Nothobranchius furzeri: one gene and its partner. The protein of the gene in region 2 binds, or shares a complex with, the protein of the main gene of each other region. Links are inferred from orthologs where the notes say so. Each region holds a gene or a part of one and is shown on either strand. Other genes may lie near its edges. The genes, in order: adat2 and adat3.

Region 1 (7,772 bases), on a different chromosome or scaffold from region 2:
AACATGTCTCTGGTCTCGTTCAACAGTCTGATGGTCATGACGTCGTTCTCGGTTAATCCACACGCCTGAACGGGCGGCACAAACATCACGGTTATTATTCATCAGTGAGCGCCGCCGTGGTCGGGCCTCGCCGCTCACCTGCTCAGCCAGGGCGTTCTCGTCGTCCGCCAGCAGGAAGCGGGACATCGGGCGCTCCGAGTCGGACTCCACCTCGGCTCTGATCCAGCTCAGCTGCTGCTCCAGCTCCAGCAGGGACAAACTCTGCTTCAGAGACACGCTGGACACCAACGGGAGACTCGTCAACTGCTGTTCTACTACGGAGGGCCAGAAGGGCCAAAATCAACAAATAACTCAAATCTGACACGAATGAGACTAAAATATAAAAACATATTTTAAAAACTTTAAGGTTTTGTTTTATGATTCAATAAATAAGACTTTTTAAGTTTAAGACATGTTAAATAAATACTGAATTCTTTATTTTTTATTGTATTGTGGCACTTTTGGCTCTCCGTACACCACAATCATGCGATCACACAAATAAAAATGTGTGACTTTCGGACGTTTTGCAGACAGAAACCTAAAACTCACCTTCCCAGCGAGCGCTGCACGGCCCTCTTCACCACTGTTATTAACTCGTTTAACCCTGGGGAGACGCGCGGAGACGTTACACAACCCACACACACGCTAGGGTCTGAAGTCAATCTGCAGGAGGAGATCTGTCCCCTACCGTCTCCGAGGAGATGCTGGATGCTGGACAAGTACTGCTGCTGGACGTCTGCAGGAGCCAGAGGATTCTGGGTAATAAAAAGCAAACATCAGATCCTCGTTTCTTTCCATTTCCCTGCCGAGCTTCCACACCTGCAGCGCGTGGTGCAGCTCCATCCTCACCGTTATGCTCTTCCCTACAGAGTTATCCAGGTACAGGTAACCTCCGATGATGTTGAGCTGCACTCGAAGGAGAACCACCAGCATGCAAGTGCTGTAGACGGCCACGATGGTGCGGGTGAAGCCTGAAGACCACAAACAACAGATCCTGAGTCTCAGGAGGCCAGAAAAAAAATACTTTAATCAAATGTTCTGCCGAGTTTAAAACTTACTGATGATTTTTAAATCTTCCCAGATCTCCAGTTTATTAGCTGGTCTGGAGGAAAAAGATTTAAACATCTTTATTTAAACACCTAAAACAAGCAAATGTGTATTTTGTGTTAGATAACAGAATAAAGTCTGATGATGGGAACGCTAATGTGTCGTCTGACTTGGTCTTCAGCAGCGCGGTGAGCGTCTCGGAGTTCAGCTGAGCGACGACGGCCTCTCTGAGCGGCGGGAGCATCGACAGAACTGAAACACAGAAACGGTGAGCCTCGCTCCTCAGCTCAGGCCGACCCTAGCCCTTACCCTAACCCTACCGGTCATGTTGCAGGTTCGCTGGTTGCTCTCGAAGTGGAACTGCCGTCTGGCCTGGGCGATGTACTCCGTCGCCTCCTTCTCTTGGATGTCTCTGATCTTCTTTTGGGCATATCTTCCAAAAATGTAAACTCCTGAGAAGGAACCAAATAGGAGGTGAACACAAAAACATGGAGGGCCAGCTGCAGCACCGTGGGGGGATCCGTTATATTCTGATATTTTTTAAACTAAATAGCAAAAGAAGCCATCTGTTATTATTCAGCTTTGAAAGAAAAATACTAAACAGATTTTAACAGGAACCAAACCCGAACCTGGTTCCATAGGAGTTCAGAGAACTGCAGCAGAGAAGAGCTCAGCTGCTCCGGAGCATACAGGTGTGTGTTAATGCTGCAGGTCAGGAAACACTGAACAAGTGTGGCCGGCTTAGAAAGGCTGCAGGAGAAATCCTGAACAAGACTTCTAGAGCAATAGCCTTTGGACCAAAGTGGTGTTTACCCATAATGCACAGCAGAGCCCTCTGATATGGGCTGTATGACCGGTGTCAGAGCTTGGTCAGCATTGCCGGCAGTAAGTCGGGCTCGTTCCCAGGGAGAGTTGGACTCTGCCAAGGCTGCCCTTTGTCACCGATTCTGTTCATAACCTTCATGGACAGGATTTATGGGCGCAGCCAAGGTGTTGAGGATATCCATTATGGTGGCCTGAGGATCAGGTCTCTGCTTTTTGCAGATGATGTGGTCCTGTTGGCTTCATCAGAACGTGATCTTCAGTTTTCGCTGGAGCGGTTTGCAGCTGAGTGTGACGCAGCTGGGATGAGAATCAGCTCCTCTAAATCTGAGACCATGAGAAAATGGTAGAATGCCCTCTCCAGGTCAGGGATGAGGTCCTGCCCCAAGTGGAGGAGTTTGAGTATCTCGGGGTCTTGTTCACAAGTGAGGGAAAACTGGAGCGTGAATAGGCGGATTGGTGCTGCATCTGCAGTGATGCGGCCATTGCACCAGTCTGTCGTGGTGAAGAGAGAGTTGAGTCGGAAGGCGAAGCTCTCTATTTACCGGTCGATCTACGTTCCTACCTTCACCTATGGTCATGAGCTTTGGGTAGTGACAGAAAGAACGAGATCACGGATACAAGCGGCCGAAATGAGTTTTATCCGAAGAGCGGCTGGGCTCTCCCTTAGAGATAGGGTGAGAAGCTCAGTCATTCGGGAGGGGCTCGGAGTAGACCCGCTGCTCCTCCACATCGAGAGGAGCCAGTTGAGGTGGCTCGGGCATCTGGACAGGATGCCTCCTGGACGCCTCCCTGGTGAGGTTTTCCGGGCACGTCCAACCGGGAGGAGGCCTAAAGGTAGACCCAGGACACGGTGGAGGGACTATGTCTCTCACCTGGCCAGGGAACGCCTTGGGATTCCCCCAGAGGAGCTGGCCCAAGTGGCTGGGGAGAGGGAAGTCTGGGCCTCTAGCCTTAGGCTACTGCCCCCGCGACCTGACTCCCGGATAAGCAGATGAAAATGGATGGATGGATGGATGGCACAGCAGAACGTTAGGAGAAACCCAAACCGCTCCCGCTAGCTGTGGACAAGGTGGTGGAGGGGTGATGGTTTGGGCTCCCAGCAAAAATGAGACCATGAAAACCAGACTGGGTAATAAATCTGGACACGGATCCCAAACGCAGCTAGAATCATGTGGCAATGATCAAAGTCCAGACCTCCACCCCCACCGAAAGCTTGTGATGAGACGTTGGGGAGCAAATGGTGCAAATCCCACAACTCATAAGTGGGCCAGAATTCCTCCAGAACCGCGCAAGGCTCACATGATCCTCACATAAAGTTTCACTACAGTGAATCATGTTTACATCAGAGACAGGGAGAAATGTGATGTTGTGCAGCACAGAGATAAAAAATACATATCTGTAAGCATTTTTAGTTTTGACAAATATGACAAAAACATTTTATATTTGAATCGGTAAAGTATTCTAAAGCCGAAAAAAAGATCATCTTAATGTTCCTAATCGCTCTTTAAATAACTTTTAAAATACACATGGTTCATTTTATCACCAAAACTAGTTTTTAAAGGGTTTATTCGTGGTGTCCGGCGTGTGTGGGGACTACCCCCTTACCTCCAACGACTGCTCCGGTGAAAATGAATTTCTTTTTATGGCGTTTTATAAAATTCCAGACAGACGAAAACATCTTCAGGAAAGTAGAACTCCAAAACCCCTCCGCACTTTTATCTCTTGGCTTCACTTTTTAATAAACATTTTAGTGGAAGAGTTTCTGACTGCAGCTCTTAGCTACCAAGCTAACTGTCACAAATTTGCTGATCAAGGGTGTAGCTGAGACATCCGGTTTAGGACTTCAAAATAAAACGCTCTGGGCAACGGAAGTGCAAATGATCATTAGATAATAGAATTGCGAATCCACGTCACATTAAAATAAAGAAACGGTTGTACTAATTAAGTGCTGTTCTATAATCAATGAGAACTATAAAATAATTGGTCCTGGCAAATCTTCCTGACATTTGTGGGAACATTCTACTTCCGGTTTTAGCGCACAATTTGTGAGAAAGGTGATTGGTCGCATCCGAAAGTGGTCCGTTTAATATTATCTTCCCCCACTGTGCTAAGCGCTTCAAATGAGTGACTAAAAGCTGAAAATACGCTCCAAAAACTGAATTTAACTAAATATCTCCAGTTTCAAAGATATTTTACATCACTCCTGACGCCATGGGATCAGAGGAGGGTGAAAATCCTGATTCTTTGGAGCGGTTTTGTCCGACTGATGAGGAAATAGAGAAATGGATGTGCAGCGCTTTTGAAATGGTAATGTCTTCATTCAAATGTAGCGAAGAAACATTTAATTTTTTTAAATAAGTTTTTATGATAAATGATTTTGTAATCATAAGTTGGTATCAACCAAATGAAAACGAACAGGAATTGTTTTGTTTGATTGGCTGAAACGTGTGTTAGATATTTCTGGTTCAGGAGTATAAGGCGCCTGGTGGTGGTGAGCTGAATGTTGAATGTGTTTCTGCAGGCCAGAGATGCTCTGGAGAACGGAGAAGTTCCTGTAGGATGTCTGATGGTTTACAAGGATGAAGTGGTGGGGAGAGGGAGGAATGAAGTCAACGAGACTAAAAATGTAGGAAAAATCTAAACAACCTTTAAAGAGCCTTACAGCAGGATCAGTCAGGACATAAGATCCTGGTGGTCTCCAGGAGCTAAAACTGTGTTGGCTTCATCATGAGACCAGTTCAAAATTTCTGATGGTTTTCAGGCAACTCGTCACGCTGAGATGGTCTCCTTGGACCAGGTCTTGGACTGGTGTCGCCATAGCAACCTGGACACAAAGAGCGTGTGTGAGCAGACTGTCCTGTACGTCACAGTGGAGCCGTGCATCATGTGTGCCGCAGCCCTGCGCCTCGTCAGTATCCTCCCCCGACCTGAGAGTGTGTGTGTGTGTGTGTGTTTGTTGTCCTTAACCAGCTCCCAGATATCCCCGTGGTTGCCTACGGTTGCAGAAACGAGCGTTTTGGGGGGTGCGGATCAGTTCTGGACATTTCCTCTGCAGACCTTCCTCACACTGGGACCACATTTAAGGTGTTTATTCATTTGTGCCACGTTGACCAGCTGCTCACTGTTTTATAAACACGTGTGTTCAGTGTGTTTCAGGCCACAGAGCAGAAGAAGCCATAGAGATGCTCAAAACTTTCTATAAGCAAGAAAATCCAAATGGTAAAATGTTTGATTACTGACCAGCTAATAAACCAATGTTGATGTTACTGAAAAGTTATTTAACTCTTTCTGACAAAAATACCTTTACATCAGAAATCGTTTCAGTTCTGACAACTGATTTATTCCAATTCATTTGCTCAGAGAATTAAAATCAATTATTCTTTTGTCTGTTTCAGCCCCAAAGCCCAAACCAAGGAAGGACTGACCTGAACAAATTGTTTTAATGTGTATTTTATAGATTTTTATTGTAATAAAATCATTTTTATTTCTAGATAATGACTTTTAATGTCTTATTTCCTCATTTCTCCAGTTCCCCAGCATGGGCGCTCTTTACCAGCTGACCTGTAAAACTGAATGAAGAGGAAAACACAGAAACATGAAGCTGCAGTTAAAACTAAATGTCAAAAATCATAAAGTTTAACATTTCTGAGGATTTGGGGGGTTTATTGGTTTGTGGAATCATGGAGGCAGAAGTTTGTAGTGAAACTGCAGATGTAAAACAAACCACTGTGTGTGTGTGTGTTATCCATGGTTCTGATTGGCGACATCAGCTCCAAACGTTTCACGCTGTGATGCAAGATGTCGACCATCAGCACACAGATCGCTCCCACACATCAAGCTGTCACGATGTGTCCACATGCATGCACGCATTGTGTGTGTGTGTGTGTGTGAGAGATACTATTTTAACACCAAAAATAATTGATTTAATAGGGAAAAAGAATCAGCTAATTCTTCCTCTTTCCCTTGCAGCTGATTTCCTAAAAGCTGGAGAAAATCGTCTCCTTCACATACCTAAAGAGAAAATACATTAAAAACATTAAACCTCAATGAAATTGATTAGTTGTGACCAAAAACAAGTTTGACCCATAATTAAACAGCATTTTGCTTTCATTTGACATTTAAAAAAAAAAGAAGTTCATGTGTCCGGAAAATATTTGTGCATTCTTCATTATGATTATTGTTATTATTTTTTGTAAGAAGAAGAATATGCTAATATGAAAGTAGTTGATAAACACTGCATTTAGTAAGCTGCTGTGTTTAAAAGCAACAATAAAACATTACCGACATGATTCTCACTTTACAGACTTTCTGTTGAATATACTGATGACCCTCCCTTGTTTTTATTTAGACACAGGGCTATTTTGTTTATGTGCTGGTTTAGAAGTGGTTTAGAAAATAAAGTTGGATTGGAACGTCTGAGCGCGTGCTTCCCTCGTGTATTCGAATCCCGTAACTGCAACTTCGGAGTCGTTTACCGTTGCTAGACAACACCCAGGCAAAATCTGACTCAAACGGGTTTTATCACATATACACTGCTTGTGAAAACATGTCGGAAGATAACGTTATTGTGATAGAGAAAGTCACGGTTGAAAGAGTTGTTCTGAAGGTCCCCAAGGAGGATATCAAGAACACACACCGGGAAGGTGACCCTTTACCGTTGCTAAACACCCAGGCAAAATCTGACTCAAACGGATTTTATCACATACACTGCTTGTGAAAACATGTCGGAAGATAACGTAATCGTGATAAAGTCACGGTTGAAAGAGTGGTTCTGGAGGTCCCCCTGGAGGATAAGAACACACACCGGGAAGGTGACCCTTTACCGTTGCTAGACAACACCCAGGCAAAATCTGACTCAAACGGATTTTATCACATACACTGCTTGTGAAAACATGTCGGAAGATAACGTTTACTTAGAAGTATACTCCTTGGGACTAAATTGGGCCACTAAAGTATACTTGAAGTATACTACAAGTATACTTCAAAGTAATAATTTAAGTTTATTTGTAGTGTACTTCTGATATAATTGAGTATACATTTCTCTTTGAAAGTATACTTAAAGTAACATCACAAGTGTACTTGGAGTGTTCTTCTGAAATAATTAAGTATACTTTTGTCCTTGAAAGTATACTTAAAGTAACAATATAAGTTTACTTTTCATACAATTGAGTATACTTTTCTTCTTGAATGTACTTAAAATATACTTTAAGTAACAATATAAGTTTACTTATAGAGTACTTCAGATATAATTGAGTACTTTTCTCCTTGAAAGTATACTTTTAAGTTTACTTGTAGTGTACCTCTGATATAATTGAGTATAATTTTCTCCTTGGAAGTATTTTTAAAAGTAACAATATAAGTTTACTTGTAGTGTACTCCTGATATAGTCGAGTATACTTTTCTCATTGAAAGTATACTTAAAAGTAACAGTATAAGTTTACTTCTAATAAAATTGAGTAAACTTTTGCCCTTGAAAGTACACTTAAAAATAAACTTTAAGTAACATTATAAGTTTACTTGTAGTGTACTTCAGAAATAATTGAGTATACTTTTCTCTTTGAATGTATACTTAAAATTATACTTAAAGTAATATGTTTACTTGTAGTGTACTTCTTATATAATTGAGTATACTTAGTTTTGAAAGTACACTTTACAGTAAACTTGACGTAATATTCTTTTAGTACATTTTAGTATCTCTATTTTTTCTATAAACACATACTGCAAGTAACATTTAACATCTGCTATTTGCTTACTACCAATACATTTAATTTCCACTATTTACTGATACTTCGTCTTTATGCAGAGAAAAAAAAATTAAATAAAATAGCTAAGTCATTTTGTTTAAATTGATTAAACAGAGA
Region 2 (8,490 bases):
CCCCTCACACTCACTATTGGACAGTCCTATAAAGAAACCTTACATATACAAGTGCATGTTCGTGCACAGGTGCTCACATGGTGCTCTCACAAGGATGGACTTGGGCATTTTCAACACATCACCTGTGTGGTGGCTGTGGTTCACACTAAACACACAATGAATCATTACCGTGTGTTTCAGCAAAAATGGTTACTTTTTTATATCCTCGTGTTGTCGGTGCGGGGTATTTTGGTCTTGTTGTATTTTTGTGTCTCTTTTCTCTCTCTCTCTTTCTGCAGGTCTAGAAGCAGATTCTTCATCATCATTTATTGTTTTTGTTTTTTTTTGTGAACTCCCCTCCCCCACCTCTTCCCTCTCTCTCCCCGTTTCTCTTACACTGCTGTCTCTGTGTCCGAAAACATTTCTAATAAAGTTTTGGTATCAGGAGTGGCGTTATAGCAGAAGCTATAATGCTCCACCTGTGAGAGTGAAACTGCAAGGCTTGTCTTCGGCATTCACACATCCATTCTGATTGCTTCACAGCTGGACACGGTGAATAAAAAAGAAATGTTGAGTCCACTGTTGTTAGTGACAGCTTAGCCTGCAAATAAGGTGGAAAAAATCTTTTATCAGCCCTGGCATCGGCAAAAGAAAACCCCATATCGGTGGGTCTCTAGCAGTGACAATGTCCTGAGCCCACAAGGTTGCATCAGTCATGTTTACACAATAGCTAATATGTAGCGTTGCTTGAGAGTATAAAGGTCATGTCTCTAGGCTTTCTGGCCTTCACAGAAAGAAAATGTTCTTGGTAGTCGCTCCTTTTTTATATTTGCATGTACTCTTTCGTAGGGCATGTATGTGTTCATGCATGCAGTGAAAGGTACACCTTTTGAGACCCCCGACCAGGGAAAAGCCAGGCTTCTGACTCACTGGGAGCAGCTCGACGGCGGCGTGCAGTTCACTTCCTCTAGAAAGTTCTTCACCATTTCCCCCATCATTCTGTAAGTACACTGATGAGCTCTTTTGTGTTCATTTTCTTTGTTTGATTGTTTTCAGAACATTTTTTTTCCTGCAGATACTTTCTAGCAAGTTTCTACACAAAATACAACACGACCCACTTCGTCATCAACACCGTGTCACTTTTGAGCGTCCTCATCCCCAAGCTGCCACAGCTGCACGGCGTGAGAATTTTGGGCATCAACAAGTATTAAATGCTGTGCCTGTCAGCATTACCAGTGTTTTGTGTTGTTTGTACTGCCAATTTGTGTACTAAATCATAGAAGCTGGCGTTTAGGTCTACGAGGTTTGGAAAAGCCAGTAGGTGTTTTCAGATGCCATGTGCATTACTAACTTATGTGAGTATTTAATTGTGTTTTTGACCTGCTTTGACCCGGGCTGGCCCAGGCATCAACAGGCTTTTTGTTGACCCAAATTTGCCTTTTTTTCTTTTGTCACATGGTGACAGATTTTATGAGTATTGTAGCCACAAGGATGCTATGAAGTATTTTCAAAGGTGTTAATTATCTGTTGGTGGAACTCTATGGCTCACTTCAATGTTGTCATGGGCGTTACCCTAAAAAACCCATTATTTGCATGATTTCATTACGTTAAACAAAATGGTCATCTTGTTTCATTGTCCTGCTTTTTTGATGTGTGTCCATTGTTTAGTGAGAGGTTTACAGTCGGTGTGGGAACCACTACAAACATGCAGCTGCTCCCTGTAGGTTGGACTTTAGCTATAGTCGAAGCAGCGAGTTCTGCTTTGTTTGGCCATAGCTGAAGGGGATATTTCTTGCTCCTAATCTTTAATAAAACGTGTCTGTCTGCTAGACGCTCCGTCTCTTTCTGCTTAAGTCCTTCTGGGATTTGTTCTTTTTGTTCTCTGATCAGATTTATTGTTACAATAATAAAAATTAACCAGAAAACTCATTAAAAATGTTGGAAAAGGAACAAAATATTACATGTTTAGCAAAGATGTAATTACTCTTCTTCATGATGGATTAGTATTTTGGTAAAGCCTAAAACAAGCTGGTTGAGTTTTACGTTCCTTCAGGTTATCACAAGATGATTTCGTGGTCTTTTAAAAGTCAAAGGCTTACAAAATAAACGGTTTAAATATCCTCATGTAAATTATTTATTATAGAACATGTTCACCCTCCGAGAGAATTTGGTTGGAAAAGTTGGTTTTATTCACCTGATGAAACAGAAATGGCTACTGCTTTTTAATTTAAACATTTCCACATGGATATACCTAAATCATGAAACGGTGTGACCTCATTTCTTAATCTGCAAACAGTCAAACCAAAAATCAGGATCAGAAACATTTCTACATAGTAAATCTTGTTTTTTATTCTCTGTGAGGTCTTGGTAATAAAATGTTTTGACGTAATTCACTTTAAACCATAACGAGGTCACATCCTGTTCAGGTGCTCACACTGGTCACTCAGAACTCCCCTGAAAACTTCAAAACGATGGTTCAGGTCTTTCCGAGAATGGATTTTAAACTTGGTCCCTAATGCTCCGTCTGCAGAGGCGGTGCCATAGAAAACCCGACCGATCCTGGAATGTACCAGAGCCATGGCGCACATAACACAAGGTTCTCTGGTCACATACAGGTCATACCCAGTGCATATGTACGGCCGAGGGCCCACCTCGGGATTGGACGCATTTATTTTTGGTGAAGTAAAGCTGCAGGCTGTAAAACTGTCAAAACGATAACATCCACTGCCCTGGCTCTGAGCTACAAGGTCGATACACACCATGACTGCATGATGCAGAGGGTGGTTGCCCCTGCAGTCATGGCCGACTGCTATGATCTGCTCCTTCTCGGGGTCAACAACTACTGCTCCAACCGCCTCCATCCCCAGATCCTTGGCAGCTTTAGCAGCGGTCAGAGCAGCCATCATGTACAAGTGCATCATGGCTTTCTGTTGGGGGCCGAAGAGTTCTCCTTTGAGTGCAACTGTCACCTGTTTGTCTTCATGAAAGGACGTGGGCCAGCGCCGGCTCGCCAGCTCAAACTGAGGTCGGGTCAACGGAGGCCAAGCAGGAATCTGCACCACAAAGGGCTCCCCTAGTCCTTCCCATTTAGCTCCATCCGAAGGTAAAAGAGAGTCGATGCTGACCACCTTCATGTCTGGAGCATCGCTGACGAGGCACAGCAGCACTTGCAACGGGTGGGGCCCATTCTCGTCCTTACAAGCTCGTACCCTCTTGATATGCTGAAGGCCACTGAGTGGATAGAGGGCGTTCAGCTCCCTGACAAGCCGAGACGTTGCTTTCTTGTTGGTGATGGGGGCAGCGAACGCGTCTACCAGCTCCACGTCTTGTGACTGCTCATCTGACAGGACAGGATAGGGGACCCAGGAGTCTGCATCACACGCTGACCCCTTCCAGCGTTTCGTCTGTGGCTCCATTGTTTTGATGTCCTCCTGTCAGCACATCAGCAGGACAGAGGACACGATGAGAAAGGATTTCAGCCACACTGGACAGAGATCAGCACAATGAAGCAGCATTCAGACACAAAGAGACCATCTTTCAGAGTTAGTGAAGCTAACAAAATCTGAGTGGTTTATGGTTCAGCTGTTACCAGTCACTGCAAATCAGAATGAGATAAGAAGTGGGACAGAATTCCTACTGAACCCAGAGACAGACTGATGAGAAGGGAGACAATTGCTGAGGTATTACCACTAAAGGCTGTCGGGTTAGGAAACATCAGTTTCAGCATTTATATTAAATTTCAGTGTTTAAATCTTAGATCTGAACGTTTAGTATAACAACATCATCTTTGGCACGCATTTTTCAAATATATGTTTAACTGTTTTTATTGAACCTATAAAGTAAGAAATGAGCAAACCAGTTTTAATATTCATTTTGCATGAGAATCACAGAAAGATGGATTTGAAAACAAACAGCTGCTTCCCTTTCAGAATAAAACTCCAGAACATTTAAATACAATATTCTCATTAATCAGTTACATCTGTTATCATATCAAGATTTGTTAAATCGTTACAAATGTTGCAGTACATTTAAACCAAACCCATACTGGAACTCTCTAGGACAATGCTGAAGACATTCCCTTTTAAAGCTAGGTCATATTTATGTACATGCTTTCCTTAAAAATAAATCAACTTTAGTACAATATGAAGCTTCAAGAGGTTATCAAGTCTTAATTAAATTAATTTTTTTAATATATTTAATCAACTCGTGGTGACTGTGCTGAAGCGATTCCATCATTTCCTTCCCAACATTAGTTTTGTTTTTATAACTTTGGGCACGTGTCTGATGGTGAGGGACACCCTGGTTCCTCGGGTCAGCGTCTCTCCGAGCTGGGCTCCAGCAGCAGACAGGTTTAGCACCTGGTCTGTTAGGTTGTCCTGGGAACAGCTCTGAATGCCATGAAGGAGATGCTGGTACATCTCATCCTGCAGGATCAGAAGACTGCGTGGCTGTAGCAGCAGGGAGAACAGGAATCGGTTCTCCTCGGTCTGCGGTGCTTCGTCCTCCAGGCTGCTGACGGGTCTGTAGAAGTCCAGCAGGGTGTGGGATCCCAGGCTGACAGTAGTGACAGTGGGGTGATACAGTGGACCATCTTCATGAGGCATAATCCCTTCACCTTGTTTATACTCGTTCACCAACACATGGTTGGCGGTTTTCCCACTGAACGCGCCAAGAGAAGATATTTTCTCACAGTAAGTCTGGAGCCAGTCAGGAATCGTCTCTGCCAGCATGCCTCTGGGATGGGGTGACCCTCCCCAGTTCTGGAGCCTTCTACCTGACAAATAAGTCCATTTAGTTTTGGGAGACTTATAGACCTGTTGCAGAAGGTAGGATTCCTCCTCTTCGGATATAAAATCTGGGATGTAAAACACTGTTTGAGGAGCAGTTTTTACAACAAGCTGCTTCAATTGTTCCAAAATACAAGTTGGATGATCCATGTTTCCCTTGGAAAAGGTAACATGAAATTCTTATTAGAATTCATGCACACAATGAACTGGAAGTATTTTTAAATATAAACCCTACCTAAATTAAAATTAGTAATCAAACAGAAGAAAAATACACCATGAACAAGTGATGTCATATCCTAAATGAGTTATAACTACCTCTTGCAGCCACTGGTGTTTTCTAGTACAAATTTAAACTTAATTATCCACTCTGAAATGAGATATGTACTGAAGTTGGTTTATTATGTTAATTATCTTAAAGCACAAAACCAAAAGTCTGGCTGCTGCACCTGGGGCATTACTGTCTGTTACATAAATACTAAAACACCTACCAGGTTAATGTCTTGTTACTGCGCTGGAGCAGACCGTCAGTTGTGCACAAATTTGTACGAAGGACTGAATGTTTTGGTTAATTTAGTAAAAACATAACTCAAAATAAGTCTCGATGAAAGGACCGTGGCACATTTAGAAGTACAACACAAATGAAAGTAACACCGTTTACAAACCGGAAGCGGAAAATTCCTAAACATTTTAACTTATAACACCGCTGATACAGTACAGCCATTAATATACACTTGGCATTAATTTATTACAGTTGTAAGCAAACGTTAAAGTTATATTTACCTCAGTAGATTACGGAAATTATGAATAAAAAAGCGTTTAGTCAAGCAGCCTGAGAACTGTCCGCCATAACTACTCACCTGTGTAACTTCGAAAAGTGTCCGGGTAACTAAACGCTGTGGTCTACGCTTCCCATCATGAGGTCGACGTTTTGTGTTTTTTAGTTTATTTAATAATAAAGTTAGGTCATCGTGTGTTACTAGATTATTCTAACTCACGGGTGGAACAAAAAAAAGACAATGTTCCGAACAAAGGTAGACTTTCTGCAGAGGTTTATACGGTGTAAACACACGTCTGGAAGGCCATTCTGCTCCAGACTTGTTTTAGGTATTGAGACAAGCTGCGACGAAACAGGAGCTGCTGTGTTAGACGAAACCGGTTCTATACTGGGCGAGTGTCTGCATTCACAGAAAGAAGAACATCTGAGGTAGGTTTCAGAGTGCAGAGCTACGGTTCCTTCAGTTCTAGGGTTTTTGTCAGGACATGAAAAAGTCCTCAAGTGTAATGTAAAAACGTGTTTGGAAACGGGTGAAATGTTAAAGGTCATGACAAGAATGGCTACTTAAGAAGAGTGTCAGGAGGAGAAATCATCCTCTCAGAAGGTCAGCTCAGGTCCATCAAGTTTCACCAGATCAAAGCTTTCCTGGGAGACCAAGGGGAGATGTTTACCCATAATGCACAGCAGCACAAACAGCTGATCCCAACCGTCCTCATTGTGATGGAGGTTCTGCTGGATCGGCGGCTGGACCCAGGTTTTCACATTTGCATATCTTCACAGTGCTTTTGCCTGTTACCAGTCACCTTGCAGACCTAACGATGACTAACTAGGTTATAGTTTAAAACACACTGTCACTTTGTTTCATATGTGTCTATTTGTTTTCCTCTCATACACCGCAGGACGGGTGGGATCATCCCCACAGTAGCACAGCAGCTCCACAGAGACAACATAGAGCGTGTGGTCTGGGAGACGTTGGAGAAGAGCGGCGTGACCCCGAGCCAGCTTTCTGCCGTGGCCACCACCGTAAAGCCGGGCTTGGCCCTGAGCCTGAGCGTTGGTCTGGAGTTCAGTCTAAGGTTTGTGAGACAGCATAACAGACTCTTCATCCCTATCCACCACATGGAGGCCCACGCTCTGACCGTCAGGATGCTCCACCCTCTTTTCTTCCCCTTTCTGGTGCTGCTCGTTTCTGGAGGCCACTCGCTTCTCGCTGTGGCTCAGGGAGTTGATGACTTCCTGCTGTTGGGTCATGCATTGGATGAAGCTCCGGGGGATACGCTTGATAAAGTGAGGTGAATTGATTTTGGCTGCAGATCCTAATTCTCTGCTCATAAAATCATCTACGTTTTGTGGATTCTCAGGTGGCGAGACGTCTGTCCCTCAGCAAACACCCACAGTGCTGCACACTGAGTGGAGGACAAGCTATCGAGCTTCTGGCTAAAGATGGAGACAGGAAGAGGTTTTATTTCACGACCCCTATGGGTAAAACTCCTGACTGCTGCTTTTCTTTTGCTGGACTCAGGAACCAGATTACGATGACTATAAAGAAAAAGGAGGCAGAGGAAGGTCTGAGAAGTTTCCTGAATGTCATCTGTAGCTAACTTGCAGTGTGACTCGTGACTGTGAGTTCCTCTTCGTAGGTGTAGGAGAAGGAACGTTGCTGTCGTGTGTCAACGATCTAGCAGCAGCCGCTCAGCACACCGTCGCCTCGCATCTTGCAGAGCGTACACATCGCGCCATCCTGTTCTGTAAGGCTAACAGCCTGCTGCCAGCAGATAATCCCACTCTGGTGAGTGCTTCTTCTAATCCTGGAATTAATCATCCATCAAATCCTGCTTTTCAATCTGCAACAAACTCGTGGAAAAAGAGTTTCAGTAAAGTCACATCACTTTGTAATATTTGTATTTGACCTGCACAAATAGACCAGATTTCTGGTCCCTTCTCCAACTCCTCAAGATGTTCTGGTGTCACCTCTAGATGCCTTCGTTCTTTCTTGAGGTTTGATCAGTTTGGTGATTTTATCATTGGGAGATCCTCTGAGCAGTTGTTCTCAGAAGCTCTTCTATTGAGACAAATCGAGGTTTCTTTTGCCTTTTTGAATAAAATACACAATCTGCTCGAAATTCTCCCTTTTGAGACCTTATTACAGAAATAAAACATCTGGGTTAAATACAGTCATGAAGGATTTAAAATAAAACTTTAGAACCTCATCCTTTTACTTTAATTTTCTCAGATATTCGTGATCCCACGTGTAGATTTGACTGATAGAGCCTTTCCAGGTGGTGTCTGGAGGAGTTGCCAGTAACCGGTACATCCGAAAGGTTCTGGCGATCATCACCGAGTGGACCGGACTCAGTCTGCTCTGTCCTCCTGGTAAACTGTGCACTGATAACGGTGTGATGGTTGCATGGTGTGTGAACAGTCTCATCAGATTGATTTCATCCAGAATTATCCAAGACACTCATTTAACTTTGTCCTGAACAGGAATGGTGTTGAGCGTCTGAGGGAAGGGAGAGGGATTCTGCTGCCAAACCAGGACGTCCGCTATGAGCCAAAGTGAGTGAATACTGAGAGAGACGGTTTTATTCTGCAGATTAAATCAGCTTTATGCATGTTTTTTTATTCAGGGCACCTCTGGGTGTTGACATCTCAGCAGAGGTGAGGGCAGCTGCCATCAGACTCCCACGAGTCAGGATGAAGATCCAAAATAACATTTAGAAACACAAAATAATTAGTAAATAACCCATTGTACTGATATTTATTAATAAATGTATTTTTGAACAGATTTTAGAGAGTGTTTTATTTTTTATGGTTATCTAAACTGATCTGATGTCAGATCCTAACATTTGTTCAAAAACAGCTGTTAATGACGTATAACAATAAATAAAAGTAACTGAAGATAAAATTAGTTCCAGGAGAATAGTTACCATCAAGAACCGGTTTCTGAGA

Evidence for each region.
Region 1: the proteins of adat3 (region 2) and adat2 are in contact, whole or in part, in a crystal structure (PDB 9HMM), measured with the Mus musculus proteins. The link is inferred for Nothobranchius furzeri from reciprocal best matches to the Homo sapiens genes ADAT3 and ADAT2. Residues at the interface, in NP_001094076.1 of Mus musculus: Val217, Ala218, Pro220, Leu221, His223, Ile229, Asp230, Ala233, Gln236, Gly237, Glu270, Ser272, Pro274, Val276, Val290, Met291, Met294, Ala295, His298, Ala299, Pro311, Asp312, Leu318, Phe319, Val321, Arg324, Asp326, Leu327, Asn328, Pro349; in NP_080024.3 of Mus musculus: Val62, Asn63, Lys66, Asn67, Ala68, Thr69, His71, Met74, Ile77, Leu81, His85, Pro91, Cys107, Ile108, Met109, Ala112, Ala113, Leu116, Met117, Arg130, Phe131, Val137, Leu138, Ile140, Asp144, Leu145, Pro146, Asn147, Thr148.

What each region holds. Positions count from the first base shown.
Region 1 is NC_091742.1:15,093,469-15,101,240, forward strand, and holds adat2 (tRNA-specific adenosine deaminase 2), read left to right. Parts: upstream 1-3,985; 5' UTR 3,986-4,122; coding exon 4,123-4,218; intron 4,219-4,432; coding exon 4,433-4,537; intron 4,538-4,672; coding exon 4,673-4,823; intron 4,824-4,888; coding exon 4,889-4,995; intron 4,996-5,057; coding exon 5,058-5,130; intron 5,131-5,306; coding exon 5,307-5,335; 3' UTR 5,336-5,462; downstream 5,463-7,772. Other genes in the region: pex3 (peroxisomal biogenesis factor 3), read right to left, coding at 1-65, 139-277, 589-643, 728-794, 889-1,010, 1,098-1,141, 1,257-1,338, 1,407-1,538 and 1 more. UniProt on the Homo sapiens protein: Probably participates in deamination of adenosine-34 to inosine in many tRNAs.
Region 2 is NC_091747.1:23,887,850-23,896,339, forward strand, and holds adat3 (probable inactive tRNA-specific adenosine deaminase-like protein 3), read right to left. Parts: upstream 5,761-8,490; 5' UTR 5,624-5,760; exon of another isoform or gene 5,547-5,623; intron 5,394-5,546; exon of another isoform or gene 5,255-5,393; intron 4,923-5,254; exon of another isoform or gene 4,917-4,922; coding exon of another isoform or gene 4,212-4,916; exon of another isoform or gene 4,019-4,211; intron 3,411-4,018; 5' UTR 3,396-3,410; coding exon 2,391-3,395; 3' UTR 2,230-2,390; downstream 1-2,229. Other genes in the region: ormdl1 (ORM1-like protein 1), read left to right, coding at 829-980, 1,055-1,190; alkbh6 (alpha-ketoglutarate-dependent dioxygenase alkB homolog 6), read right to left, coding at 4,212-4,916; osgepl1 (tRNA N6-adenosine threonylcarbamoyltransferase, mitochondrial), read left to right, coding at 5,783-5,970, 6,441-6,828, 6,903-7,107, 7,182-7,330, 7,821-7,951, 8,026-8,097, 8,169-8,259.